4 linked regions of the Caenorhabditis elegans genome follow. The protein of the gene in region 3 interacts with the protein of the main gene of each other region in a pairwise test. Each region holds a gene or a part of one and is shown on either strand. Other genes may lie near its edges. The genes, in order: Y43B11AR.3, Y51H4A.8, nhr-2 and clec-258.

What was found.
Region 1: the proteins of nhr-2 (region 3) and Y43B11AR.3 interact in a two-hybrid assay, tested with the Caenorhabditis elegans proteins (one large-scale study listed by BioGRID).
Region 2: the proteins of nhr-2 (region 3) and Y51H4A.8 interact in a two-hybrid assay, tested with the Caenorhabditis elegans proteins (one large-scale study listed by BioGRID).
Region 4: the proteins of nhr-2 (region 3) and clec-258 interact in a two-hybrid assay, tested with the Caenorhabditis elegans proteins (one large-scale study listed by BioGRID).

Annotation. Positions count from the first base shown.
Region 1 is NC_003282.8:7,078,592-7,085,512, reverse strand, and holds Y43B11AR.3 (TruB_N domain-containing protein), read left to right. Parts: upstream 1-1,796; 5' UTR 1,797-1,905; coding exon 1,906-2,141; intron 2,142-2,272; coding exon 2,273-2,367; intron 2,368-2,411; coding exon 2,412-2,617; intron 2,618-2,665; coding exon 2,666-2,817; intron 2,818-2,860; coding exon 2,861-3,013; intron 3,014-3,071; coding exon 3,072-3,237; 3' UTR 3,238-3,296; downstream 3,297-6,921. Other genes in the region: rps-4 (Small ribosomal subunit protein eS4), read left to right, coding at 852-1,110, 1,157-1,556, 1,658-1,778; nssp-41 (MS Related Protein), read right to left, coding at 3,449-3,589, 3,719-3,861, 3,911-3,974.
Region 2 is NC_003282.8:16,573,068-16,581,974, forward strand, and holds Y51H4A.8 (DUF4136 domain-containing protein), read right to left. Parts: upstream 5,483-8,907; 5' UTR 5,449-5,482; coding exon 5,239-5,448; intron 5,143-5,238; exon of another isoform or gene 5,122-5,142; intron 4,936-5,121; exon of another isoform or gene 4,914-4,935; intron 4,691-4,913; exon of another isoform or gene 4,667-4,690; intron 4,444-4,666; exon of another isoform or gene 4,422-4,443; intron 4,321-4,421; exon of another isoform or gene 4,239-4,320; intron 2,706-4,238; exon of another isoform or gene 2,685-2,705; intron 2,562-2,684; exon of another isoform or gene 2,541-2,561; intron 2,432-2,540; coding exon 2,081-2,431; 3' UTR 2,027-2,080; downstream 1-2,026.
Region 3 is NC_003279.8:5,816,607-5,824,541, reverse strand, and holds nhr-2 (Nuclear hormone receptor family member nhr-2), read left to right. Parts: upstream 1-3,407; 5' UTR 3,408-3,433; coding exon 3,434-3,543; intron 3,544-3,622; coding exon 3,623-3,817; intron 3,818-4,388; coding exon 4,389-4,866; intron 4,867-4,916; coding exon 4,917-5,438; intron 5,439-5,556; coding exon 5,557-5,670; 3' UTR 5,671-6,068; downstream 6,069-7,935. Other genes in the region: C32F10.8 (alanine transaminase), read left to right, coding at 1-483, 624-700, 751-1,242, 1,314-1,404; hmg-3 (FACT complex subunit ssrp1-B), read left to right, coding at 6,417-6,653, 6,725-7,362, 7,451-7,935. UniProt on the Caenorhabditis elegans protein: Orphan nuclear receptor.
Region 4 is NC_003283.11:19,784,830-19,791,407, forward strand, and holds clec-258 (C-type lectin domain-containing protein), read left to right. Parts: upstream 1-3,610; 5' UTR 3,611-3,874; coding exon 3,875-4,097; intron 4,098-4,162; coding exon 4,163-4,452; 3' UTR 4,453-4,556; downstream 4,557-6,578. Other genes in the region: srt-45 (Serpentine Receptor, class T), read left to right, coding at 1-224, 343-468, 806-1,021, 1,069-1,113.

The sequences.
Region 1 (6,921 bases), on a different chromosome or scaffold from region 3:
AATCCCTCGAAAAAGTGCCTTTTGCAACAAAAATACGTCTTTTCTACTCATTTACTGTCTACTGAAACTGCCTTTCGCTGGAATTATTCTTAAAAACTCCCCATATTTCCAATTTTTTCTTTCCAGTAGTTTTATCAGTAAATGGTCGTTTAATGTTTTTCAAAAGAAAAATTATCGAATTTGTGTAGAATGTAATTTTTATTTTTCAATTTCTTTTTTTTAGTCGCCTTTGTTTCTCCTTGAAATATTGAACAATATCGATTTTTTGTGAATAAAAACATTTAAACCACTAAAAAATTTCTTGATTTTGGTCTTAAACTACGAAAATGGAACACAAAATCTGAATATACACGAACTTCTTCGATAGGATCAAGAAAAATAGAAATAACATTTTCAGCATATTAAAAATAATTTTTTATAGTTTAATTTATTAAAATTTTTCATTGAATGTACTGATAACGAAACAAAATTCATCGAAATCGTGTCGCAGCATAAATAAAATTGTTCGTTGGAGAGGAGTTCACGACAGAGAGTGCGACAGGGCACGCTTTCTTGCGTCCAAGGGACAGCCAGTTGTACAGCTGCCAGGTCTCGCAGCGAAATTGATTTTAGGCCAGACGCAAGGAAATTTTTAGAGAGATTTTTCCTATTTCTCCTGTTCTCAACGCAAAATTTTTTAATTTTTTCATATTTTAATGAAATAACGATGTTAAATATCATTTTTGAGCGATAGTTGTGCTATGTAGTTAATCTGTTCCATTTTATGCTTACTCTCACTATTTTTATCATTACATTTTCGTGATTTCTCATTTTAAAGTTCAAAATTCCAGCTTGAGGTACACACTTGAAAAATGAGAGGACCAAAGAAGCATCTTAAGCGTCTCGCTGCTCCAAGCCATTGGATGCTCGACAAACTCGGAGGAGTCTTCGCTGTTCGTCCAAACCCAGGACCACACAAGCTCCGCGAGTCCCTTCCACTCAGCTTGTTCCTCCGTAACCGTCTGAAGTACGCTCTCAACTACACCGAGGCCAAGAAGATTCTCACCCAGAGAGTTGTCCGCGTCGACGGAAAGGTCAGAACCTGCCACAAGTTCCCAACCGGATTCATGGGTAATTATAATTTGTATTCTTTCTAGTTTTGTATTCGCGTTTTCAGATGTCGTTGCCATCGAGCGTACCAACGAGTATTTCCGTATGCTCTACGATACCAAGGGAAGATACGTCGTCCACAGAATCCAAGCTGCCGAGGCCGACTTCAAGCTCTGCAAGGTCAAGTCTGTCCGCACCGTCAACAAGGGAGTTCCAGTCCTCACCACCACTGACGGACGCACCATCCGCTACCCAGACCCACATGTCAAGGTTAACGACACCATTGTTTTCAACATCAGCACCCAGAAGATCACCGACTCCGTCAAGTTCGAGCCAGGAAATTTGGCCTACGTCACTGGAGGACGTAACGTTGGTCGTGTCGGAATTATCGGACATCGTGAGCGTCTCCCAGGAGCATCTGACATCATCCACATCAAGGATTCTGCTGGACACTCCTTCGCCACTCGGTAAGTTTGCCTAAAAGGCTAAAGGAGAATGAAGGTCGGGGGCCGCGAGGGTCGTAAAAGTCCGGCTAAGGTTGGTTGCTAATTCAAATTTTTCTTTTCAGTATCTCCAACGTCTTCGTCATTGGAAAGGGAAACAAGGCTCTCGTCTCCCTCCCAACTGGAGCTGGAATCCGTCTCTCAATCGCCGAAGAGCGTGACAAGCGTATGGCCCAGAAGCACTAAACTGTTGTTTTTGTTGAAAAATAAAATTGTTAATCTAAAAAACGACTTAATCTTCAAAAGGGAAATTGTTTTAGCAAACCTATCGCTTTGAGATATGAGACTAGTCTTAAAGTTTGCATTTTTGGATATGGGTCATCTTGATATTTGGAAGTCTTTGTCCGGTGTTCTCTGTGTTTATAAGCACTCGGGAATTTCCTCCGCTGGGTTGATCAAGCTGATTACTCGTAAGATCGCCGAATCTGTCTCTGATATTGAATCTACTTCTCGAATTCAACTTCCTCTGATCTCCATCCCAGTCATCGAAGCTCATGAAAAGTCAGGCGCTCTAGTAGTCGTCGGCCGGAATGAAGTGGCTGATTACAGGTAGTCGTAATTTAAAATATATCAAAGTTAGAGCAATAACTTGATTTTGGAAAATTTAACATATTTTAGCCAAAAATTTGGTTATTCACAAGATCTGCATAAAAACGAGAAGAATGTTCTGTTATTTTCAGATATCATCCACTTGTGTCTGGCAGATCAATCAGACAAGAGGACATTCAATTGGTAGACGTACTACCGTTGGCCACAAATAGTTCTGGAGTCTGCTGTAAGGTAGAATTAATAATTTTCAAAACAAATTGATATTTTCAGTGTTCGGTGTCAATGATGGTTGTGAAAGTATTCCAGAACTCATGTCAAAGTCATGGACAAATGTGTATCGAATCGATGGAATTATAAAAAAGTCGGAAAATATAGACGTTTCGAAAATTTCAAAGCATCGAATTGAGAAAGTTTTGTCACGCTTGGAATCTGAATTTCGTAGTGCCTCATTTCGTCATGCCAATGTAGATATGGAGGTGATTATTCGAGATTCTTGTATAAATATATAAAAAAAGTTATTTAAGAGTTCAGAAGCATTTGAATTAGCTCGTCGAGGAGTTCCACGGGCTCAGCTACCCGGTTCACAAATAGTTTATTCGATTGATTTGAATTGGTTCCGATCACCAAAATTCTCTGTGACAACTCAATGCTCTGGCGAAGACGATGAAATGCTCAGGTTTCCCGTTTTTAAAATCCCGTTTTTGAAATGTTATGTTCAGACAATTGATTGAGCACATTGGTTCAAACCTTGGTACCGAGTCTACGACAATTCGACTTCAGAGACAGAATTTTGGACCATTTGGAAGTGACAATGCACTGTTAGAAAAACAAATTAATCTACAGAACATTGCTAGAAATATAATTCTGAATCGGTATGTCAAAATAATAGAAATACCATAAATAGCACACATTAATTAATTTGTTTTTCAGAAAAATCATCACTTCCGAATCAGTTAACAAGAAGATTGTATCAGAAAGCGTTGAGCCGGAAGATTCAACAAAAAATCGGGAGATTTTCGATGGTTTCGGATTGAAAGAATCCACAAAACTGGATGATTACGATGCAATGAGACCAGCATGGCCGAGAAATTATTAATTCTTAATTCTATTCTCGAATTTATTATTAAAAATAAACTGAAAAAATAGGTTAGATACGGAAAGTAGTAGAACATGATGTATATGCATATAGTTTGAGTTAAATTTAGAGAAAAGTATGGATGTGACGAACTTATGATTTTTTATGATAACAGAGGGGTGGGAGAGAGAGAGGGAACGATAAAATAATTAAATATAAATTAAGTTATCATTCAATATCTAACAGCATGTAGGACAAGGACGGCGACGGCGAGAAGTTGAGCTGAGAAAGTTGTTGAGCTTTTTGTAGTTGTTTCGATAGTTGGAGATGAAGCAGGAATATCTGATGAATGGACTGGGACAACAGTAGATACCTGGAATATTATTAATTAAAACAGTTTTGCAAACTAGCTCAATAAGATTCGAAAATGTTTCAGACTACATATTAGATTCTTTTTAAAACAGTACTACAAATCTGCCTCCGTTTTTCCAGCAGAACTCACATCGACAGCAGATCCTCCAGCAGATTTTCCGGTAATTTCTTCTCCAGCTTCTTTATTTCCATCTCCTCCAGCAACTGCACCAGTCACAGCAGGTTCAACTGGAGCTGGTGATGCTTCTACGACAGCAGGAGCAGCATCCTCAGCTGAAAATATTAAATAGAATGATGAATATAATACTTATTAATTGTTTACCTTTTACTACTGCGAAGATCATTGAGATGGTGGCAACGAGAAGGAATGATGTGCCAAATTTCATCTTGATATTGGAGAGAAATTGAAGGCTGAAAATTGAAACAAAATAAATCTAGAAACTATGTTCAAAGTAGAGGAAGAATTGAGAGTAAGAAGAAGAAGAACTGAAAACTCGTGGAAATTGTGTCTGCAGATGACATAAATGTTCATATTTATGTACTGTAAATTTTCCCACGGAAAGATACGAAATATGGAAATAAGTTTTTCCTTTTTGACGACAACAAAACCGACCAGTAAAATTGAGAAGAACGAATGAAAGAAAGAAATACAAAAAACGACGAGGAGGAACCGGGGGTGGTTGTGCAAAACCATCGCAATTTTATAGATATATTCGAATCGAAATGAATCGTGAACGTTTTATCGTTGATTCCTCCTCTCTTCGTATGGACAGTACCGATCATACATACACACAAAAAGTGAGAGAATTGGAGGATTACTGTGATGAGTTGAGTTGATGTAGAATATTGATCTTTTCGAAAACTTCTGGTTTCGAGAGAAATCATGTCCAATTGGGAATTTATAGAACATTTATTATCGAAATACTCTTTACTTCATAAAATTTGGTACTGGCAACTTCAGATCGCTGCGGGATTCACTAGAAAATTATGGGGCTTTAAGTTATGTTTTCAGAACGAATACGTTTGCTTCAGACGTTCGCTTGTAACTGGATATAGGTTACCAATATTGTGAATGGGATAATACGGAAATTATTTCTAGTCTAGAGGGATGTTTACAGCTGAAAATAAGCTATTACGTAGACATCAAACTTATGAGAATTTTCGCTATATTGCGCGGATGGGTCTCGCCACGCTGTCAGCGAGTTACTTTAAACGTGGCGAGACCCATGCATAAAAGATATAGCGAAAAATATAACTTAAATAACCCGAAATGTTTTGAGAGAAAGTGTTGGTTCTACCCAGAAATATCAGAAAATGACTCATTTTCTCATAAACAACTCGAGGAAAATCAGAGGCTATTGAATTTTTTGACAATAGCTTTAATCAAAATTCCTATTGAAGAATACCGCTATTCATTTGATAAAGAATGAAGATTTTTTGAGATGAAAAAAGTAAAAACACAAGAACATAGAATATTGTATTGAGTTGAACAAACTTTCTAGCATGATTTCATATATTTATATGGATAGTTTGTCATAAGATAGAAATTCGTCGAAAAACGGGAAAATCTGATGAATGAAGAAAACCAAAGTCGAATAAATAAACACACGTGGAAACCGAGAACAATAAGACCTCCATGCAAGAACTTGTTTCAAGACTATATGTTTATTGATCATTCAGATTAGTCAACTGATTTCAAATAACATTATTTGTCGAATGAACCAAAATAATACAACTTAATACAACATCAATTCTAGATGCCATTTTTTAAGTCTTAATAACATTAAAACATTCGTGGTTCAGAATTGATTTGGCTTCAAACTAAAATTTATGCACACGGATGACCTAAATCATACAATGCATACCAATTGAGTATTTCTAGAAAGCTTTTTCTAGAGCCTAGAAGCTTAGAAACACATTTTCATTACCTTGATATCTAGTAATGCTCAAAAGCGAATCGATCCGATTTTCGCAAAACTCGGTGATATACAATGTAGAGAGTGGCCTAATCTGCCACAGAAAGCTGGCAAACAGTTGCAGAAAACTGGGACGGTTTTCCAAAATAGGATTACTTCTTTGCTTGAAATCAAGAATCAAAACCGAGTAAGGATCAAATTCTCGAAAAGGTACATAATTTGTTTTCGAATGAAATCCAAAGTTCTAGTACTAAAGCTGTCGTCTACCTACCAGCTTCTGCATTCTGATGAAGCACGAATGAAAAACTAAAAATCCCAGAAAGATGTGTATTTCTTGTTGCTCCACCCCCCTCGTCTTCCAACTGAACACATGTGTGAACACGTATTTTGGTTATTTTTTGTGCTCCTCTCTTCAAACGCGCGCGCAGAAAACATATAGAAGAGCAGGAAAAGCGAGTAGAAATCTAATTGAGAATTCTGAAAAGAAAAAATACACGAACAGGCTAAAAAAATGGTCTTAGGAAGAAGAATGTAAAATAGCAAAAAGTTCACATAGACGTTGAAACACATTTTTATGGGTGTCAATTGGTAAGGTTACGGTATGTTTATAAAGCATCAAAGTAATATGGAAAATGGGGTTTCAGAAATCTATTTCTGAAACATTTTTCGACAAACAACACGAAGCATGAATCAGCTGATGTCTATATAATTCAGGAATTCAAGTTCTTACGGTAAATAGTAGTTATCAACATAGTTTTGAAGAAAGTTAGTTTTTAAATTGTCCGATAACACCAAATTGTGATAATTTCCAAAAATAATATCTATCTTTTTGCCTCAATCGGAAATGTTTGCTATTTTTTATTTAACTATGATATTAAACTCTTAAAACCAGACAGAATATTTTTTAAAAACACTGAAAATCTTGAAAGAATATTCCAGAAAGGGATTCGTTGGATGAATGAAGAATGCATGTTCTTATTCTCATTTTCTCTTCTCAATAATCCATCTTTTCAATTTGATATTCTATTCTCATTTGTCCCGTCTTTCTTTCTTTCCCATTCCCGAATGGAGAAGAAAAAATTAGGTATTCAACAGAATTGTTGCAGAATATTATGAATAAAGAAGTAATTGAAAGATGGAACATCTGTTGACATCTGTAACTATGAGAGAATGGAATATGAGTATTAAAGAGTTTGTTACTTTTAAATTTGACAAATTTAATTCAGTGAAAACCAAGCTTTCCTAGTAGGCAAAAAAAGCCTGCCTGTTTACCGTTTAGGCAAGCTACGCCTGCCTTGTGTCCACACTCTGTCCTACTTTCTTTTGTAAAAATTAAATGATTTCTTATTTGAAGGTGAATGAGAAAGTAGGCAGGCAGGCGTGCCTAGTTATCGCTGTATGCCTATTTATCTTATTC
Region 2 (8,907 bases), on a different chromosome or scaffold from region 3:
TCTAATTCTATATTCTGGGACGGAATCCAGATGTTTTTTTAGGTTACAATCTAAATTTTTAGACCAGGGTCTGAATTTTTTTGATGTTCTTGTTTCTAAAAAGTAATGTTTTTCTCTTTGCAAAGCGTGATCGAAATTTTTTTAATTAAAAATCAAAACTAGCAATGGAACGGAAGCAATGGAACTGATCGTGAAATTCTTAAAATGTTGATAATGAAACAGTAAAAAAATTTTTATAAATGATCAACTGCGAATCACTGGCTAAATCTTGAGAAGATAAAACATTAGTGATTGAATTTTCCTTATATTTTTGAAAAAAATAAATGACATGTTTCCGGAACTATGCATATTTGCAAAAATGGGGTTGGCATTTATTAATTAATGACGTGCTCCTTATATATTTTCAGCTAATAAATCCCTGTAAAACCATATTTCGCTCCATTACAGAACATAGCAGCTCTTATTTTCATAAACAATTAAATCGATTTAACCTTTAATTATATATTCTGGGACGGAATCCAGATGTTTTTTTTAGATTAAAATCTAAATTTTTAAGCCACGTTCAGCCAAGGCCTGAATATATTTTTTGTTTTTTTTGGCTGAAAACTAATGTTTTTACCTTTCCAATGATGAGAAAAATGAACTAACATCGTGAAACTCTTAAAATGTTGATAATGCAACAGTAAAGTTTATTTTGGCTAAATCTTGAGAAGATAAAAAATTAGTGATTGAATTTTCCTTATATTTTTAAAAAATAAATGTCGTGTTTCCGGAACTAAGCATATTTGCAAAAATGTGGTTGGAATTCATGTATTATCTTACTGTAAAGTTATAACTTCCCAGACAAAAAAATAAACAAAATAATCTTTTGAAAACTTGCGTGCATATAAGACGCAATACCTATTTTTTCTCAAAAATAAATTCCTGTTAAACCATATTGTCTAACATTACAGATTACATTACAGACCATTGCCAAACACATCCGCTCTTATTTTTATAAATATGAAATCTGCACTGCAACTTTTTTCGAACGAGGGACGAGGCAAAAAGGTTTCTAGGCTATGGCCGAGTCCCTGACAAATTTCAGCGGCCATTTATCTTGCTTTGTTTTCTGCGTGTTTTCTTTCGTTTTTCACCGATTTTTCCCGTTTTTTCTTATCAAAACTAATAAATAAATATTTTTTGCAGATGCTAAACCAATTTTCAAGTGAAAAAATTGTGAATTCAGTCGGCAAGTAGCGGTAAAAATGGTCAATGTAATATGATGGATTACGGGAATAAAAAACCCAAACTTTTTCCCAAACATGATACATATGCTGTTTAGATGCTAAAAGTACCTGATTTTCATAACGAGACCGCTGAAAAAGTTTTGAGGTTTTCAAAATTCAACTTTTTTGGTGTAGAGATTTTCACAAAAAAAGTTGAATTTTGAAAATCTCAAAACTTTTTCAGCGGTCTCGTTATGATAATCAGGTACTTTCAGCATCTAAACATCATATGTATCATGTTTGGGAAAAAGTTTGGGTTTTTTATTCCCGTAATCCATCATATTACATTGACCACTTTTACCGCTACTTGCCGACTGAATTCACAATTTTTTTCATCTGGAAATTATTTTAGCATTAACAAAAATATTTATTTATCAGTTTTAATAAGAAAACACGGGAAAAATCGGTGAAAAACACAAGAAAACAAAGCAAGTACAAAATGTCGTAAAATGCGGTGTATTGTGTGCAAACACCGATTTTTCGCATTTTTTCTCGGCCCTCGTTCGAAAAAAGTTGCAGTGATCTGGCATATCATTCAATACTGAATCAAAATAATGCACATCTTAAGTGATGTTAATGAAACAGTCAAAAATTTGAATTCTCAAAATCAGATCAACTTTTAATTTTTCGCTTTCAACGCCCATAAAAACTTTATGTTTCCCTGTTTCAAATAACGTTAAAGTATTTTCAACTTTTTCCGTATTCTATTCTGTACGGCCAGATCAAATCCCATGTTCAAACTTCAATACATGTAAAAAATTCTCGCTGTTAATATAATTTTATTTCAAATCCACAAAAAGAAAAAAAACCAATTAACCAACAGTAACAATAGGATCTGTATAAAACTGTGCTCCTCTCTTCGTCGTCAACTTGTCCGCCATCTGAGAAGCCAACATCTTCCACTGGCTCTCATAAATTGCAGAAATCGCGGTCACTTGAACGGTCAAAGGGACAACAAACGGACTTTTCGCGTATTTTCCATCGGTTCCAGCCTTCGCTGCACACTTATAGTAGACTGTGGATTGTTGTAGAACACCGTAACCCGCGGTGTCGGCGGTGCACTCGGTTACTGTAGTAAGTGTGACGTTTGGAGGCGAGAATGTGATGACTGGTGGGTTTATGTCGTTTAGGGGGATACTGTTGGCTTGCAATACGTCGTTGATCTGAATTTTTTGAATTTTTAAACTTTTTTGGTATTGTATAGTGTTTTTAGTGTTTTAGCGCTCTACTTGGTTCCATTATTATACAAGTTTTGAGCAGATAATTTTTTTTGGTTCGTATGGACAAATTTTAGCAAGCTCTCCGAAATATAATCTGGTAAATGAAATATTTGAAACAGTTTTTTTTTGATAATGGGTATAAATACTTTGTGGCTTATTTTGAAACTTAATGTTTCAGACTTATTTATCTTTAAAAAAGAATTCAAAAGATCGACAAACGAATTAATTTTATACAACCTGAAAAATGAAATATTTGAAACAGTTTTTTTTTATTGATAATGGGTATAAATATCAGGTTGTCCCATAAGTTTTTGTACTATTTTTTTTTTTGAAAAAAATTTATTTCTCTCAAGCGACAAGTAGTACTATTCACACAAGTATTCACCATTAGTGTCCACCACTTGTTGCCATTTACTAGGTAACATCATGATGCCACGGGAGAAGAAATCCGGCGAACGCGATGAGAAGAAAGTGGAGAGTTCAGTTTTGAGATGCTCTTCGTCGTCGAATTGCTTGTCGCGCATGTAGTCACTGAGAGACAAGAACAAATGGTAGTCGGTTGGTGCAAGATCTGGAGAATATGGTGGATGCGGTAAAACAGTCCAACCAAGATCTTGCAGCTTTTGGAAAGTCTTCTTGGCGACATGAGGCATAGCATTATCGTGAAGAAAATATAGTTTTTCATATTTTCCGTTGGTCTTTTCTGCAACTCGGTCCAATTGGGCACAATAGTAATCAGCAGTGATAGTTTTATTAGTTGGCAACAATTCCCAGTGCACGGGTCCTTGAACACCCCACCAGACACAGATCATTATCTTTTTTGGGTGAAGATCAGGCTTTGGCGTCGGTATTCCTTTCTCACCGATCGGAAGCCATTGACGTTTTCTGGAATGGTTAACATAGAGCACCCACTTCTCATCTCCAGTAACCAGATTGTTCAGCCAATCGAACTTTCGACGAAAAGTTAGAAGTTGAGTACAAACGTTGACCCGAGTGAGCTTCTGTGATGCCGAAAGTTCATGAGGCACCCAAATTCCAAGTTTTGAAGTAAAACCAAGGCGACCCAAGTGACGTGCAATTGTGCTATGACAACACTCAAGCTTCTCTTCCATTTCACGAAGACTAAGACGAGGCTCTTCCTCCACCAGCTTCACTAGGTCTTCTTCATTTAACTCTACCGGTCGCCCAGAACGTTCTATTTCTTCGAGACTGAAGTCGCCGTTCTTGAACTTTTGAAACCAACTCTTTGCTGTATTATAAGAGAGTGCTCCCTCACCCATCGCACCGCATATGTTTCGTTCCGCTTTCATTGCTGAATGACCAAGACGAAATTCATAAAGAAGAAGCAATCTAACGTCTCGACGTTCAAGTTTGATGATTGTCATCGTGGCAAAGTAGAAATGGATGAAATGAATCTTTTCTGGAAGGGGACGACCCGACCTTGACACGACCTACGATGAAAAAATTTTAAAACTTTCTAGAAGTTTTGGAAAAATATTTGAAAAAAAGTACAAAAACTTATGGGACAACCTGATACTTTGTGGTTTATTTCAAAAATTAATGTTTCAGATTGTTATCTCTAAAAAAAATAATTCAAAAGTGATAACAAAATAGATTTAGTGGTAGGTAGACACATCTCTAGGCTCTTCTCTTTCAGCATACTTTTTTCAGTCATTTCTCCGCTCAAAATGTGCGAACAACACAGCCATTTGCGGTAACGAAAACACCCCAACCAGCTCTCCGAAACCGGGCTGCGATGTCCGAGCGGTTAAGGAGTTGGACTTGAAATCCAATGGGCATTGCCCGCGTAGGTTCAAATCCTGCTCGCAGCGAATACTTTTTGGAAAATATTCCGAATTAAATCTACAGGCTTTTAAATAAATTTTTTAACTCATTGACCGCGCACCTAGTATGTCGCTTTTGAGTGATTTATCAGTTTCTAGGAGAGAACAGAATTATTTCGATTATTTGCAATTGGCTATATCAGTATAGTGAAACAGTGAGAATTTTTTGTGTTAACACAATGAAAATAGAAAGATTGTAATATAATCATGCATTTGTACTATAGAATATAACATGTTTCTACAAAATAAATTTTCAATAAAACGTAAAAATTTTATTTGTAAAAAAGTATGTTTTATAATATTCTTATTAGCTCACTGTTATCTTACTAGGGAGTGTTTCAACTCTACGGTGCCTAAAAAGTTATTATTATTGTTTTCGTCAAAAAAAAAATTGCCTCCGAATTTTATGGCCCACTTATGGGTTTTTTTTCAATTATTGTAGAGATTGGAATATGCTATACTTTTCTTTAAAAGTGGCAAAAACGTAGTAATTGGCACTTTTCGAAAAAAAAAAGAAAATTTCAATAAAATTTTTAATGTTTCAAAAGTATTTCATTAAACTTTTTATGAATCGCTTTTTATTGAATAGGCTGGCTTGATGGAAATTAAGAAAATATATGGCTTTTCATCAAAACTAGACTAGAATTTATAAAGCTTCTGAGAATTTCAAATTTTTTTCAAATAATAATGCAACCGTTAAACATTATGCGATGTGTTGCCATTTCACATTCTTTTATAAATTTGGCAAAATTATCCACCACCATAGTTGGACATTTAATAATTGGACTTTTAATAAATGCAATTATACGAACTCCAAAGAAAACTGTAGCTGTTCATAAAAATTTTGTGAAACAGTAGAAATTTTTTCTGTATTGGGATTTTTATTTAAAATTGCATTTAACTCACCGCACTCTGCACATCCGACACCACAACTCGCTGAGCATAGGCTTGATCAAACTGTCCGTTTTCAAATTCTGCTAGAGAATCATAGGTGTATAGAGCAGGAGGGTTCATTTCATAGCTGAATGTTCCCTTGGAGCCCAGCGTTCCGGTACCCGGAGCACAGGCTCCGGCTGTGGAGATGAAAAAGCAGAGGAGCAGTAGAATTTTAAGCATTTTGAAGGTTCAAATCACAAAAGTTAAAAGTGAAGTTTAAACCTTACCTCAATCCTTTTTTATACCGTTTCCTTAACCTTTGCCCCACAATAGCTTATGTTTGTTTCGATTTGCCAAAAATGTTTATATTTGTCATAGTTATGGCATCATTTTATTACTGATTGTTAACACTTTTTCTTGTGGGTGGGTGTGCCAACAGTAAGAATAGGTAAAGCATACTAAGCGGGGGTAAAAGGGAACTCGTAAAAATTTGAAACCCAAAGATCGAAAAATTGTCAAACAGCCGTTACTAAAATTTGTTTGAAGGCTGAAACTGAATTTTTTTTTTGTTGCAAATTTTGAAGATTTTGTTCCTGGATTCGATTTGAAAACTTTAAATACAATGAAAATCCAAAAATAGGTGGAGCCTATTATTGATTATACTTTTATCGGAAGCTTCTGGTTTAATTTTAAATTGTTTTACACGTTTGAAAGCGGATCACTATCAGAAATAGATCAAAATGTGATGAAAAGTTTTATACGCACGCGGTGAAACGGTAAATTTCGAAATTCAGATTTTTCGATTTCTTATCAATTTTTAAAGTCATTGATGGAGGAGTAGCGCCAGTGGGGATATCATTTAAAAAAACACTCCAAAAAACTCAAATTTTTTACAACTTCCAGTCAAAGTTTTGGCAAAAAAAATTGTAGGAAGTTTTTTTTTGATCGACTTATAAAATTATGAGTGGCAAAATTTGAGTAATAGTCACTTTTTACAGTGAATTTTTAAAAATCCAATTTTTTTTCAAAAAGTTTTACCTTTAAAAAAATGTAGATGCTTTCTTTTAAACCATTGTGTTACTATTAGATTTTTTTCCTATAACAAGACAGTTTTCTGTAAAAACCACCATAGTCACTATTCCAACTTAAGAGGTTTTGCTTACATTTGACTACTTCTGGCAGATATTAATTTCCTGGTTACGTTTCAATTTTTTTAATTACCAAAATACAATTTGAGCGTATGAATAAAACCCAATTTACAAAGAGTATAATAAAAGCATGTTGAAACAATAAAAATTTTAGAAAATTTTTTTTTTCCGAAAAGCGCCAATTATTAAGTTTTTGCCACTTTTAAAGAAAACTATCCCTAAAATAATTGAATATTACCGTTTGAAACATAAAATTCGGAGGAAAACATTTTTTTTTCAACGATTTCCAAATAAGTGCCTAACAGAATGGTTGCCATTTTTGAAATAAAATAAACAACATTTTCAAAAAAAGTTTTGAATAGTTTTACTTTTTTTGAATTTAATGTTTTAAATTAATTGTTTTGAATCATATCATTGAAATTTTAAGATCTTTCTCATGAAAAAGTTCTGAAATAATAACTAAAATATCAGTGACGCAATATAAATATTGTGAAACATAATTTTTATAAGTACAATTTTTCTGTAGAATTGTTGTATTCCATAGTACAAATCATGATTATATTTGCCTTACAACCATTCTCGCTACATTGTGTTAACACAAAAAATTTCTGACTGTGTCACTATGCTGATATAGGCAACTGCAAATAATCTGAATGGACACGATTTAAAAATATTTTTTATTTAAAACAATTTCAAATAACTGATAAATCGATTTAACGCAATAGGTTAATGTTCGGTGCGGTCACTACTCCAACTTAAGAGATTTTGCCCAAATTTGATTATTAGGTCGTTCAATAAGTTTTTTCGTTTTTTTCTAGTTTTGGTTTTTTCTTGGATAATATTTTGCGGTTGTATAGAAGACTGTTAGTAATAACAAGCCCAACAATATCAGCCATATCGGTCAACTTCCAGATTATTTAAAACTCAGAACTATGATGACGAAAAAAAAATTTTTTTTCGAATTTTTTCATTTCTTTGTGAAATCAAAAACTTTGTATGCGTAGAGGTATAAGACAGTTAGTTAAACAAAACTAAAACATTTCAGAACCAGGCATAGCTTATTGGTAGCGCTACATCTGTTGGAAGTGTCGAAAACGCTTGCAAAATTGACTTTTTCATGTTTGAGCGGTGCTAACTTTTAAACCATGAGAGATATACAAAAGTAATGTATCACAGCATTAATGTACACATCATCAGCTACATTTTATCAGTATGTTACATTGTTGTCCCTCCTCACGTTTCTGAGTTACAGTCGATAGAAATGAGCTTGGTCCAATTTTCAAAAAACCCTAATTTTTCACGTTTTCGCCTGTAACTCCGAAATCAGGTGCCTGATTAAAAAACTTCAAATTAAAAATAAAGTGATTTTAAATTATAATCAGGTACACAGTTGACCGTTTTGTCATATCATATGTGGGCAAAGATATGAACGGTCAACAAACAAAAAATGCATGATCGAAAAAATATAGAAAAATATTGCAAAAAACTGTTTTACTCTTTCCGAAAAGAACATGAGCGTTTAAAAACACATTTAATATTTTGATTACTAATTAGGCTATCATAATCAAAAAACAGTTAGAGGTTATCTTGTAAAAAAAACTGTTGGATTTTTTTTCGATGTTTTTTTTTGAAAATTTTCTAAAATTTCCGCAACTTTTCTTTGACAATTCATATCTTTGCCCACATATGAGATATGACAAAACGGTCAACTGTGAACCCGATTATAATTTAAAATCACTTAATTTTTAATTTGAAGTTTTTAATTAGACGCCTGATTTCGGAGTTACAGGCGAAAACGTGAAAATTAGGGTTTTTTGAAAATTGGACCAAGCTCACTTCTATCAACTGTAACTCAGAAACGTGAGGAGGGACAACAATGTAACATACTGATAAAATGTAGCTGATGATGTGTACATTAATGTTGTAATACATTACTTTTGTATATCTCTCATGGTTTAAAAGTTAGCACTGCTTAAACATAAAAAAGTCAATTTTGCAAGCGTTTTAGGCACTTTAAACAGATGTAGCGCTACCAATAAGCTATGCCTGAGTCTGAAATTTTTCAGTTTTGTTTAACTAACTGTCTTATACCTCTACGCATACAAAGTATTTGATTTCACAAAGAAATGAAAAAATTCGAAAAAAAATTTTTTTTTTTCGTCATCATAGTTCTGAGTTTTAAATAATCTGGAAGTTGACCGATATGGCTGATATTGTTGGGCTTGTCATTACTAACAGTCTTCTGTACAACCGCAAAATAATATCCAAGAAAAAACCAAAACTAGAAAAAAACGAAAAAACTTATTGAACGACCTAATAATTATGCCAGATATTAATTTCCTGGTTTTGTTTCTACTCATGATACAAAATATTATCAACAAAAGATAAAGGGTACATCCAAAAATCAAAAGATCGAAATATTGCCAAACAACCGTTACAAAAATTTGTTTGAAAAGATTTTTTCACAGAACATTCGATTGGAAAACTTCAAAAACAAAGAAAGCCCAGAAAAAGGCGGAGCCTATTATCAATTTTATTTTTAAAGGAAGCT
Region 3 (7,935 bases):
GGAGGAAAATCCGCTGGAGCATACAGTCAGAGTACGGGAGTGGAAATTGTACGAAAACACGTGGCAGAGTATATTAAGAGACGTGATGGAGGAATTCCATGCAATTCAGAAGATGTCTGCTTGTCTGGAGGAGCTTCTGAATCAATCCGAAATGTTCTCAAACTTTTTATCAATCATAACAACGCAAAGAAAGTCGGAGTCATGATTCCAATTCCACAATATCCACTCTATTCTGCCACTATCGAAGAATTCGGACTTGGACAAGTTGGATACTATTTGAGTGAATCGTCTAATTGGTCCATGGATGAAGCTGAACTTGAAAGATCTTTCAATGATCACTGCAAAGAATACGATATTCGAGTTTTGTGTATCATCAATCCAGGAAATCCTACCGGACAAGCACTTTCTCGTGAAAATATTGAGACTATCATCAAGTTTGCACAAAAGAAGAACCTGTTCCTTATGGCTGATGAGGTTTATCAAGTAAGTTTTCGATAAAAATTTACACTCGATAATTTTCCACTATTTTCAATTAAAATTATTTTAAATCATAAACCATATTTTTTAATGAGGAAAATCACACTTTTCTATTAAAATAATGAGATTTAAAATATCATCTTCAGGACAACGTCTACGCTCAAGGATCGCAATTCCATTCATTCAAGAAGGTTCTTGTGGAGATGGGAGAGCCATACAATAAGTGAGCTTTTTTTCCTAAGCAGTTAAAAAACTCATAATATTAATTTGCAGAATGGAATTGGCTTCTTTCCATTCGGTATCCAAAGGATACATGGGAGAATGCGGAATGCGTGGAGGATATGTTGAATTCTTGAATCTCGACCCAGAAGTGTATGTCCTTTTCAAAAAAATGATCTCTGCCAAATTGTGCTCCACAGTACTCGGACAAGCCGTCATTGATGCCGTTGTGAATCCACCAAAGGAAGGAGATGCATCGTATGCTCTGTGGAAACAAGAAAAGGATGCAGTACTTGCTTCTCTTAAGGAACGTGCTACACTCGTCGAGAAGGCATACAGTAGCATTGATGGAATCAGCTGTAATCCAGTTCAAGGAGCCATGTACGCTTTCCCGCAAATCACGATTCCACAGAGAGCTGTTGAAAAAGCTCAGTCTTTGAACCAACAACCTGATTTCTTCTATGCTATGCAACTTCTTGAGACCACCGGAATCTGTATCGTGCCAGGAAGTGGATTTGGACAAAAAGACGGAACTTATCATTTCAGGTTTGTGATACTCTAATTCACATTTAATACAATAAATCTAGATTCATTGTTGGTAAATTCAATTTTTTCAGAACGACAATTCTTCCACAGCCAGAACTCTTCAAAGACATGCTCTCCCGGTTCACTGATTTCCACCAAAAATTCCTTGCCGAATACAAGTAGACTTTGAACAATGTCTAATATTCTTCTTTTCTCAATTTTCTCAGCTTTTTTTCTTCTATGTCACTTTTTGTTTCATAGCCAATATGATAGGGTCTAAATGCGTTTACTGTGTAGATTCGATTAATTTTAATTATTGCATTGATGAATTTTAACATTCTTTTTTTTGTAGAAGACTATACTGCCACTTTCACCTGACAAACAATAGGACCTCAGACAGTTTCTGGCACACTCTTATTGATGGATTCCCAAAATACAAGGTCTTTGTCCAGAACCGCCGTTCAACACAATGTGCATTCCACTCGATCCAATTGAGCAGATTCTAATTCACCTAAACGGAGGCCCAATCTGTGACAGTTTATGACCAAATATTCTGTTGCACAAACGTTACATAATCAGGTCAATCTGCCTGCACACACACAATGTTGCCGACTGACGTAACACAGAATGATAGTTTATTGGAGGAAAACAAATGGGCTCTCGAGATAACTGGAGTAGATTACGCAGTTTTGAAATATCGCAGTATTCTTCACTGTCTATCTAAAATCTTATAAAACCAAAAATTACCTCCAAATGGGTTTCTTGGAAAACTACATGGTTCGGAAAATTCGGAATTGTTTGGTATTTTCAATTTATTTTTGAAATTTTCATACACTATTTCCAATTCTTAGTTGGAAAAATTGTTGTTAACAAATTTAAATGTTTTTTTTTGTTGAAAAGTCTTAAAATTTCAAAAAAATATCAAACAATACATATATTTTGCGAAATTTTCGAATTACTTACTTAAGTTTAGAAACGGTTTTGAATACTGAATTCTAGAATATTTCCAGCAATGATTCTCGTCACTAAATGTTTTCTCATTAGCTAAATTAAAATTGACAGCTCGGCCGTTGATGATCCCTTCTGAAAAGAATCAAGATTAGATAACCCCAATCGTTGTCTATTTTCAGAATAAATCGATATTTATAGTTTGACCTTTCCCTTCTGTCAGAATGTATTCGACCATCTGTGCTAAATTGGGGATGGATTAAAGATCCTTCATTAACCTCTATATTACTGTACTATTATAGTATTCTCTGACACATAGCCTCTCTATAGATAGGGGTTACAGAAATGAAATGTTACCCCAAAAGAGGGTTATGAGCATAGAGTTCCAGCAAAAGAATTGACCTACAAAGAACCAAACTTGGCGGCTAATTAATGTTTTGAAAAATTATGACGTCACACTATTGCTTAGATTTCAGCCATGTACTGATTTAATCACAAACATAATCTAGATATAATCTATCAAATTTCTATTCTGACTGTGTGTGTCTTTCAGAAAACCTTTAAATTTCACTTTCCGGAAGAGATGTACAACTATTTTCACTTACAGCAATACTTTTTGGTCGATATATTCCAGCTACAATGACGAAATGTTTTTGGATTAGGGACTGTAGGTGTACTGTAGCTACAGTGCTGTAGCTGAATTTAAATATTATTTTACAGCGTATGAGAACATTATAGGCTACTTGTGTTACCGCTGGGTCCGTAGTTGTTTGGCTTCGAGAGAGGGAAATTTCCTGAAAATTAATGTTCAAGAGCTCTACTATTTCTTCGACACTTTTTCTCACTGAAACTTGATAGACTCTTATTCTGCAACTCATATGCCAACTGAGAACCATACCCAATTTCTCAACAATATCTGTTAGTTTTATCCGAACGCACAAATATATTACAACACCACACTGCGAATATTTGGAAGAGATGTCATCACACCCACTTTCCATCTCTTCACTGTCACCTTCTTATTCCCATAGACCACCAGGGGCGGAGCAGCACACCGTCGTTGCAGGCAGAACGAGCAAGAGTGCGCGAGAACAGTGTGTGCAAGGTCAGATGGTCATTATGCAACCAATTCGAGCGTTCGTTGACCAACATTTTCGCGCGTTCTGTCAGTCTGTTGAATTGTACACTATTTCATAGTATACTCTTTTTTTCAATTTATTAACTCTTATTATTTTTCTATCTCTATTTCTTTTCTAGTTTTCAGATGGTTCCAATGAATCCAGAATTGATGCATTATCCAAATCAACCACATATGATGCCAGGCTATCCAATGATAAATGCATATCAACAGTCATATTTACAGAATCCGGCACAGTAAGTTTTTATATTTCTGTATCCAGTCATAACTTTTCGTGCATTCGAATTATTACAAAACACCAATTCTCACTTTCAGATGGACCCCAGAAATGCTTCTGTGTATGCAAATGCAAATGCAGCAAATGGTTCCAGGAACAGCAACAAACTCAACCTACATGCCACCACAATCTAAAAATACAGTCACTCCAAATGCCACATCACCGCTGAGCCAGATTTCGGACAGAGATTCGGGAAATGACACAATCTCTCCACCACTCACTTCACAGAACAGGTATGTATTTCTTCTGCGCGGTAAAAAGAAGAGTTGCGCAATGTTTGAGTGTTTGGGCGGTCTCTACTTTATGGTCCAATTTGTTTCACGCAATACGTAGAAACAGGTCACCTTGTGACGTGGCAACTGGGTAAGAGAGTGACAGGTCAGAAGAGGGGGCAGATGGGGGACTGTATTGATGACGTGGCAGATGTTACCTCCTAATGATGAATCATATTGAATCCTATTGGCAGGATTCAAGACATCTAAACGGGAATCTCTTTCAACTGGCAAGGTTGGAAGTGGGATTTGAAAATTCAGTTAGTGATTTCAAGTTGATGTAATTTTTACCAATTCACACCTAATTAGAACAAAGAGCGGTTAGATGCAACAAAAAATATTTTAAGATGTTGTACAAAGAGATTAGGTGAGAACAATAGAGTCAGATTTAGCGGAATTTGAGAACACGGTTGTACAGTATGCCGAGGGAATTCTACGTTTCAGCGAGTTACTAAATTAATAAATAAGGCAACGATGACTGGAAGATTACTTTATCCTTTCTATAGTAAAAACGTTAAATTCAATTTTTCAGCGCAACCACTCCAAACTACCATAATCAGCCACAAATGCAATTGACTCCACTTCAACAAGCAAAACCAGAAAAAGAAGAAATCTCACCATATGCAATTAATAATATTCTTTCTTCGACTCAAAGTTCTCCAGACAACGGAAATGAAGCCGATGATAAAGAGAACAGTTCTGTTCGTCGTAACACATTCCCAGCGTCATCTGCTTCAACAAAAAAGCCACGTGGTACTCCATATGACCGTACTAACACACCAATGACAGTAGTTCCACAAATGCCACAGTTTGCTCCAGACTTTTCAAACTATAATCTCACAATGAATGCTTGGAGTGAGTTCTTTAAAAAGGATAGATGTATGGTTTGTGGTGATAACTCTACTGGATATCATTATGGAGTACAGAGTTGTGAAGGATGCAAGGGATTTTTCAGAAGAAGTGTTCACAAGAATATCGCATATGTTTGTACCAAAGGAGAAAATTGCACAGTGAGTTTAATTAGACAAGCATTTCAAAAATATGCTATTATATTTTTCAGTTCTCATATGAAAATTGTGCGGCAAATCGTGGAGTACGTACTCGTTGTCAAGCTTGTCGATTTGCCAAATGCCTCGCAGTTGGAATGAATCGTGACAACGTTCGAGTGAACAAAGAAACTGATAAAGATGTTAAACCATCAGTGGCTTCGCCCAATTTTGAGATGACATCACAAGTGAAAGAGCTTACGGCCGCCTTTGTTGCAAACATGCCATGCTCTACTCACTTAACATCGGGAACTCATGCTATTGGAGCAATTAAGAAATTTATTGAATCAGTTCCAGCTTTGAGCTCACTTTTGCCAAAAGATGAAAAAGCACTTGAAATGAGTATTCAAAAAGTGATGAGTGGTATCTTGGCTATTCGTGCGGCTTTCACATTTGATCCAATCACTTTCTATTCCTGTGAGAATCCAGTAAATTTGCTTCGTGGCGGCATTCGTAATACAGTATTCAATGATTGTGAAGTTGCACTTCTCTCTGGAATTCATATACTTCAAATAGTCAATGGAGGTGTCGCTGAGGTAAGTAATTGTTTGGCATAATGCCAAAATTGTCGGAATATTCCCAAATGACACAATTAATCCCTACCATAACACTCAAGAAAGTAAATATTGCGCCAAGAAAGTTAACCTTTTTCAGATTTTTACGAGTTATTGTCAAGGATTACGCCATCAACTGTCTCAAACACATCTACAAGAGATAGGACTCTGCGATCGATTGCTCATGAGATTGGGACCGTATCTCAATCAATAACAAATATATTACTTCTGATAAATTCAGAACCGATTCGGTGTCTGGACACGCTTCCAACCGGTTCTGAATTCTCACAAAACTTTATTCCTGTCTTATGAATCAATATAGATTCAAAATACTTGTTTAAAGTCCCCTTCCCCCGTTACTATCATTTTCTATTCATGTTCTCAAAGTCTGATCATTTCTTACTGATCTCTTCCTCCAGGTGTGAATTTAATTCTCTATCTCACTCTCTCGTTCGGGCTATATACTGTTTCTTTTTGAATTTCCAATTGATGTTGTTTGTTAGGCTGTTACAGTACCAAAAATTATATTATTTGAAGTTTGTTAAAAACTTAATATATTTGGTACTGCTTCTTGGTTGTTGAAAAGATGAAATAAATATTATTTGATAATTTAACTATTTTGTATGCAGGAAAAAATTTGACGTGCCACAACTTTTACCGTTATTTGTCGTAATTTGTCGTAATAGTAATTTGTCAATTTATTTGTCAAAATTAGTCAATTATTAAAAAAATAATAAAATTAATAGAAACGGTCGTCAGATGCGGTGCTTGCGTATACAGTATACTTCGGTGTTCACGTATGATCGACTACCGTAGTTCTTTGTTTTCGGTTCGACGCGCGAAAAAATTAGAGTGCATTTTTCGAGAATTCATTTTTTTCATTCTTTTCCGGACTTTTCTTGTTCGCGGACGTTTTTCGCTTCTTTTCTTTACACGCGTTATTGACTGACAAGTTTCAGAATGACTGAGCTCAAATTCAAGGGAGTTTACGTGGAGGATATAGGCCATTTAACATGCGGAACGCTTACATTGACTGAAAATTCGATTAACTTCATAGGCGATAAGGGTGGAAAATCAGTTTACATCACAGGAACCGACGTCGATAAACTGAAATGGCAAAAGCTTGGCAACAAGCCGGGACTACGCGTTGGTCTTAGTGATGGAGGTGCTCACCGCTTCGGAGGATTCTTGGATGATGTTAGTTTGTTGTTCGTTTTCTTTATTTTTATACGTTTGTAGTCTCATTTTATTCAAATTCGAAATTTCAGGATCTTCAGAAAATCCAATCGTTCACTTCTTCTAACTGGTCTAAATCTATCAATCAATCAAATCTTTTCATCAATGGATGGAACTATGGGCAGGCCGATGTCAAAGGCAAAAATATTGAATTTTCATGGGAAAATGAACCGATTTTCGAAATTCCGTGCACGAATGTGTCAAACGTCATTGCCAACAAAAATGAGGCTATTTTGGAGTTCCATCAGAATGAACAAAGCAAAGTTCAGCTGATGGAGATGAGATTCCATATGCCAGTTGATCTAGAAAATGAGGAGGATACTGATAAAGTAGAAGAATTCAAGAAAGCAGTGCTGGCATATGCTGGATTGGAGGCTGAAACTGAGCAACCAATATGCCTTCTCACTGATATTCTGTGCACAACACCTCGTGGAAGATATGATATTAAAGTTTATCCGACAAGTATTGCACTCCACGGAAAGACGTACGATTACAAGATTCCTGTCAAAACGATCAATCGTCTATTCTTGGTTCCTCATAAAGATGGACGCCAAGTATATTTTGTGTTGTCGTTGAACCCACCCATTCGCCAGGGACAGACACACTACAGTTATCTCATTTTCGAGTTTGGGAAGGATGAAGAAGAAGATTTGGAGTTGTCGTTGACTGAGTGAGTTTATTTCAGAATTTTCTGGGAACAATTCCGTGCCACTCAAATATATTTTATATTGCCGTCCAATAATTTGAGAGTATTTCAGTGAACAACTCGACTATTTCAATGGAAATCTTCAACGTGAAATGACTGGACCAATCTATGAGACAATCTCAATTCTCTTCAAATCAATTTGCAATCTGAAAGTCACCGTTCCTGGACGATTCCTCGGAAGTTCGGGCACTCCTGCCATACAATGTACACATCGTCAGAACCTTGGATTGTTGTACCCAATGGAAAAGGGATTTTTGTTTATTCAAAAGCCGGTCATGTACATTCGCTTTGAAGAGATTAGCTCATGTCATTTCGCACGTTCTGATAGCGGAACTGTAACAAGAACTTTTGATTTTGAGATTGATCTGAAAACTGGATCATCGTTGACTTTCAGTGCAATGGATAAAGAAGAGAACAACAAACTATTCGACTATCTAAACAAGAAAGAGATCAAAATTCGCAATTCTCATCGTATCGATAACAAATCAGCTGGTTATGGAAGCAGCGATGAAGATGATATCGATCCATACAAGTCAA
Region 4 (6,578 bases), on a different chromosome or scaffold from region 3:
CCGCCACCACGTCTCTATTTTCCAATCGGATCATCAGTATTGGCTTCAGGAAGTATGCAGATGTAATCGAGAAGAAACTCGCCTATACTTCAATCAGTTTTGTACTTTTCTATGGATTCTACATTTGTTGGTTTACACCCACAACTGCGTATAATTCTGTATTTATGGCATGGATTCCTGATCCATTATCTGAGGAAGTACCCAGTAAAGAGGCAGCTGCAATGGTAACTTATTTGGAATATTTTTTTGCAGTTTCAACTTTTTATTAAACCAATGTCTAACTTCAATTACTATTTCAGAATTAATAAGAAAACAGTCCTCAGAGATTAAAAAACGTTTCAGTACAAACACACCATTCTACCGTGGAACAATTGGATTTTTGTGGCATGCATGTTCATTTTATTTTCTGTGTATTTTATAATGGTAAAACGGATGGCGAAGGGACAGAAATCAAAGGCTTCCAGATCAGTGAGTCAGACATTTTACCAGTTCCCGATAGATTATTTTTCTGTTCTCCACGCTACCAGTATTTTTTTAAATTCTAGTCTTTGAAAAAAATTGGAAAAATATATAGGAGTTTCAAGATAGTTGTATATTTGAGACCAACATGCTGTGCTTTTAATATTTATTTTTTTTTAATTTTAATTTTAAAATGTCTTTTTTGTTTGCAATTGAACACGATATGTCTGAGAGGACAGTAATAACTAAGTGTCAAGTTTAAAATCAAAAAGTTGGAACAGTAGTTATTTTGTTTTTGAATCTTCTATCACATTAACTTATCAATCCAAATAAGAAAATCTTTCAGATTTTCATTCAATGCTCCATAATTTGCTTCTTCAATACCGGAACTGCTTTGGTCTACAACGCGCTAGCAATTGTAACCCCTGCTGAATGGATTCTTGCATTTGGACAAATATGTTGGACATGTAATCATGCAAGTCCTGCTATTATATATGTCTCTTTAAATAGCACTATCCGCAGGGAATTCTTGAAAATTGTGTTCCGAAACACTTTGGCACCGGTAAATTTAATTTTTGGAATTTCTGAATTAAAATCTCTTGTTTTCAGAAAGTGGAAGATGCTACAACAGGTGTTGCAAAGAACACGATTTAAAATCAATTTTGTAATGTAATTTTTTTTAGTTTTGTTCTGACATCTAGCAGGTTTCGCCGAAAAGTTTAAATATCCATCTGATACATTGCATAGCCTACATACCTTGAAATTTGTATCTGCATTGAAAAAATGTAATTGTAATATGGATGACAAAAAGTGAATAAAACTTTTCCACTATTTATGTCAGTTAACAAAGCTTGGGCAGGATTGGATGTTGTAGTGGGCGACATCAAGACTGTGACCTCAAAACATTTTCAACAAACTTCTTAAAACCCCCAACCCCCAAGTAGACCCAAAAACCGATCATAAAATTAATTTTTTGAATTTTTCCAGTTGGAGGATGGTCAGCAGTTAGTTTTCAAACATTCAAAGAAATATTCCAGGAGCTTCTATTTGAGTTTTCTGTTAAAATCAGCAAAATAAGGTACATTTCTGGTGTTGGTGATTACTTGATCTTCACTAATTGATTAGTGAAAAAATTGTGAAACGCAGAGAAAAAATATTTGACCAATAATTGCGGGCTCCTGAAAATAATGACGTCACACTTGTTTAATCAAGAAATTCCAGTTTTTTATAATGTCATTTTAAGAACCTACATTTTTTGGAGTTAAATTTTCAAATTTCTGCTGTTTCAAGTAGGGCTGGCCAACCGGACGTCCGGTTTTTTCGAACGTCCGGATTTGGGAAGAGCGGTGCCCAGAACTTCTGGATGTCCGCTTTCCGGATAAGGAGACCCGGGAACTCCTTTTCAAAATTGGGCCACGCCCACATGGATGCTGGCAAGTTTTCCAGTCAGGGGGACTTATGTGAACGTATATCCCGACATTTTCTGGGTTCCGCGCCTCACTGTGAAAGTGCCCACACTAGTGTGCGCGTTTTTATAGTGAGCGGCGGAACCCAGAAAATGTCGGGATATAGGTTCACATAAGTCCCCTGCCGAAAAAAATTTTCCAGCATCATTTGCCACCCACGGGTCTCCATGTGGGCGTGGCCTAATTTTGAAAAGGGGTTTCCGGATCTCCTTCTCCGGAAAACCGGACGTCCGTTGTCCGGAAGTCCGGATTCGGACGTCCGGTTTCGTCCGGATTAGTCCGGATGGCCAGCCCTAGTTTCAAGTGTCTCGATAGACCACAAGGGAGATGGTGTGTTAAGGTAAGGCTCAATGCCTATTGTACCTATATCCTATACCTTCAGGCATTCTACGGGAACAACAACCATGACGCCACAGAAGCCGCCTGCCAAGCTCAGGGAGCCAAGCTTTCTGGATTTCAAACTGCCGATTAATCAATGCGAGCTACACGTAAAGCCTTAAAATCCGCAGTTATTCCAGAAAATTCTCAGTTTCCAGACCTCCTCAGAGCCCTATCCCCCGGCGCTAACACAATAGCCTGGGTCGGTGGGATCAGAAAAGCCAGTTGCCCAACTGTTCAGTCTTGTACCCCGGCTAACAGTTATCAATGGACAGATGGCCATACAAATGGCACCGCTGGCTTCACTTTTGCCGTTAATCAGCCTGATATTCATAGCGGGTAACTAGGATTTCAACGTGGTGTCCGGCTGTCTTGTTGCGGTTGATCTACAAAAAATGCGGGAATTTTTCCCCGTCTCTTCTCCCGCATTTCTCGGAGATCAAACCAACAAATCAAAATGAGATACTCGGACACCACGTGTACATTCCAATTCCAAATTTAATGCGCTTATAGAGTACAATTCTGTCTGACCCAACATGTACATGGCCAAGTCGACTGGGGCCTCACTTCTGCTCAATGGCACTTTTTCAATGGGAACTTGGATGATGTGGATTGCAGGATGGCACATAATACGTACTTGTGTGGAAAAGTTCCGAAATGAATGCGGGTGAATAAAGAGTTATTGATTTTTTTTTGTACCAACAAGTTAAATGATAATAATGTGCTTGCCGGATGACCTTTGTATACAGGTATACAGGTATTAGGTATATATGTATTGGTATAGTTATTAGATATATATGTATTAGGAATATAGTTCATAGGGATATATGCATTACGTATATAGTTATTAGGGATATAGTATTAGGGATATAGTTATTATGTAATCAGGTAGTTATTTTGTATATAGCCATATGCATTATATGTATAGGCTTTAGGTAAATATGTATTATGTATATAGTTATTATGGATATAGGCATTAGGTATATATGTATTAGGTACATAGATGTGTCGGAATTAGGTATACAGTTATTAGGGATATACGTATTAGGCATATTGGTATTAGGTATATAATTATTAGGTATGGTATATATGCATTACGTATATAGTGATTAGGGATATATGTATTAGGTATATATGCATTAGGTTTATAGGTATTAGGTGCATAAATGTGTAGGCACTAGGTGTATAGGCATTAGGTATGTGAGAATTAGATAAATATGTGTTATGTAAATAGGTTCCATATTGTTATATATATATTGGCCTATATATAGGTATCATGTTCTCGCCGGCTGTCCTTTTGCAAACATTTTTGAAACTATGCAATTGCTCCAATTACATTTTATTTCTGTTGCTTTTCGAATCTATTTTTCCTACATTTTTTCAAATTCTTACTACAAAATACGCTATTTAACCTTTCGATAAAGACGCACTTGCTGATAATTGATAATTTGATGCATTATCGGTTTCAAAGTCATTCTACATAAAATGAACATAGTTTAATACTGATAACAATTAACATACATATATAAAGGTTTTACACGCAAAAAGTAACCTAAACACCACATTTCCAAATGTTCCCGAAACTTCTTTTCTTGGCAATACTTATTCCATCATCACTAACCGATTGTCCTGACATTGATGGCCAAACCAGGGAAATCAAAGGAATATGCTATAAATTTGTGACTTCTCTGATGAAATATGAAGATGCTCGTGATTGGTGTCATCATCATAACCCAGCTGGGCCTTCATGGCTAGCATATGTCCCTGATCAGGAAACGAGTAATTTTTTGGCCGGTGAGTTTTAATAGTTTTATCTATTATAATTTAAGGTTTTTTTATAAGTACCTAATTTTTTTTAGTCTACGCCGGTTCAATATTTGGTGAAGGTTTCAAACACTTCTGGATAGGGCTCAATCGGGATCCTATTTCTAAAACCTTGTCCTGGGATACCGGTCTTTCAGTTTCCTATACCAACTTTGGAAGTAACGTTGCACAAAACTACTTTTCTGAAAACATCACTAATACAAAGTGGAATACACTGGGAGATGATGAGGTACATAACTTTGTGTGCAGTTATAGGCCATCTACAGTACCTGCTACAGTAACCCGACAACCTCAAGCAAGACGGCTGGCAGCAATGAAGAATTGAGCCTAATGAAACATATTTTTAATTGTCGGAATTTTTTTTCAATATCGATTTTTTTTGCTTTTGGGAAATCCAGGTGTAACTATAAACAGTTTAAATTAAAAAAAAATAGTGATTGCGCCAAGAAATTACAAAAATCGATTTTTTACAACCTTACTAGACTAGGCTTAGGCTTAGGTTTGACCTAAGCCTTAGGCATAGCCACAGGCATAGGCTTAGGCTTATGCTAGGGTTTAGGCTTAGGCTCAGGTTCAGGCTTAGGCGTAGGCTTAGGCTCAGGCTTAGACTTCAAACTTAGGCTTAGTCTTAGTTTTGGGCTCAGGCTCAGGCTTAGGCCCAGGCTTAGGGTAAAGCTTGGACTAATGCCTACGATCAGGCTGGGCGGAAGAGAAAAAAGAAATTCCAGAAAATTCCAGCATTCAAAAATAGGGAAAAAACACGAAAATCGTTAAAAAAAGAAAAAAAATGGTATATTTACAAAAAGTTCCTTGAAAAGAGGGAAAAAACAAAAGAAATTTTTTCAAACTAATTATGATAAGTGGCAGTATTCATGGCAAATACCGATTCCGGTAATGTTCTTTGAAAATTTTAAAATCCAAGTTTTTTTGACGATAACTTTTGATGGAACCATTAAAAATGAGCAATAAAAATGCGGAGGGAGCGATATAAATTCAGGAAAAGGAAGTGAAACAGGTTATAGTTTTCAGTTTTCATTTTGGAGCGTTGTATATTTCAAAAACTGATAGCAGTTCCTTTTTCCAGCTATGAAGCTTTTTCTCATCGCTTTTGGTATATCCTCGGTCTTTGCTCATTCTTTTTCTGGATCCTCTGATTCGGATGAAGGTCACAGTCATCGTGGTCGTGGACATAGGACACCCCGACCATCTGGACCAAAATCTTGTGAAAGTGGATGGACGGCCTTTGATAGACCACATGGGAGATGGTGTATTAAGGTGAGATTTTAGGAAAAAGCATTCAAATTTTTTCACGTGGTGTCAGGGAGTCTCATTGTGGTTTGATCTACAAAAAATGCGGGAATTTTTCTCCCAGAAAAGTGTGACGTCAGCACACTCTTAACTAGGGCTCCGAGATGACTGAGGCGCAAAATGCGAGCCTCACGCCGACCTCACGCTGATGCCGCGCGCCGCTGTGTGTGCGCAACGTAGTGCGAAGTGGTGTTTGTTTGGAAGCGGCCGACACGTTCGGAGGTCCGCGCCTCACGCCGGCGCGGCAATCTCATGGGAGCCCTACTCTTAACCATGCGAAATCAGTTGAAAAGTCTGCGTCTCTTCTCCCGCAATTTTCGAAGGTCATACCAAAATGGGACCCTTTGGCACCACATGTTTTGTGAGAAAAGGGTTTTGGCGGGAATTTCAAGATCCATGTGCAAAATCGCTTTATAAACCATTTTAAAAAGTGTCTTTAAGCCATTCTACGGGAACACGAACCACATCACTGCACAAGCCGCGTGCCAAAAACATGGAGCCAACCTAACAGGCTTCCAAACTGCTAATGAAGTTACACAAACCGTTCGTAAGAAATATTCATCTTGTTATAATTTTTCACACTTTTCTCTATTTCAGACCTATTAAGAACCCTTATCAACCAAAAATCTCCCGGTGCAAATACCATCACCTGGATCGGTGGAATAAGAAAAGCGAAATGTTACCGACCTGGTATCTGTACCCCCCGCTGACACTTATGAGTGGGATGATGGTCTTACAAATGGGACAGCTGGTTTTACTTATGGTGTCAATCAGCCTGATTTGATGAGCTTGTGAGTTATACCTTCAGTCAAAATTCAAATATTACATAACTGCAGAAGGCAATGGTGCCTAACGTTGCTTGTACATGCAACATCCGATGCTGGCGTTGTCACTCCTCAATTCAGTCTTTACAATGGGAATATGGACGATGTGTTCTGCGATCAGTCGCTTGACACATATGTTTGTGGGAAACTTCCACGATAAAAGAATAAAGTTTTTCGGTTATTTTTTAACTGCTTTGTTTCTGTAATGAATGAATTAATATCATTACCTATATATTAAAAAAAATGCAGTTCGTCTATCCGGAGTTTGTAGTCTTTGTAGTCTTTGTAGTCTGCAATGTTTTGACTTAAGAAGATATAT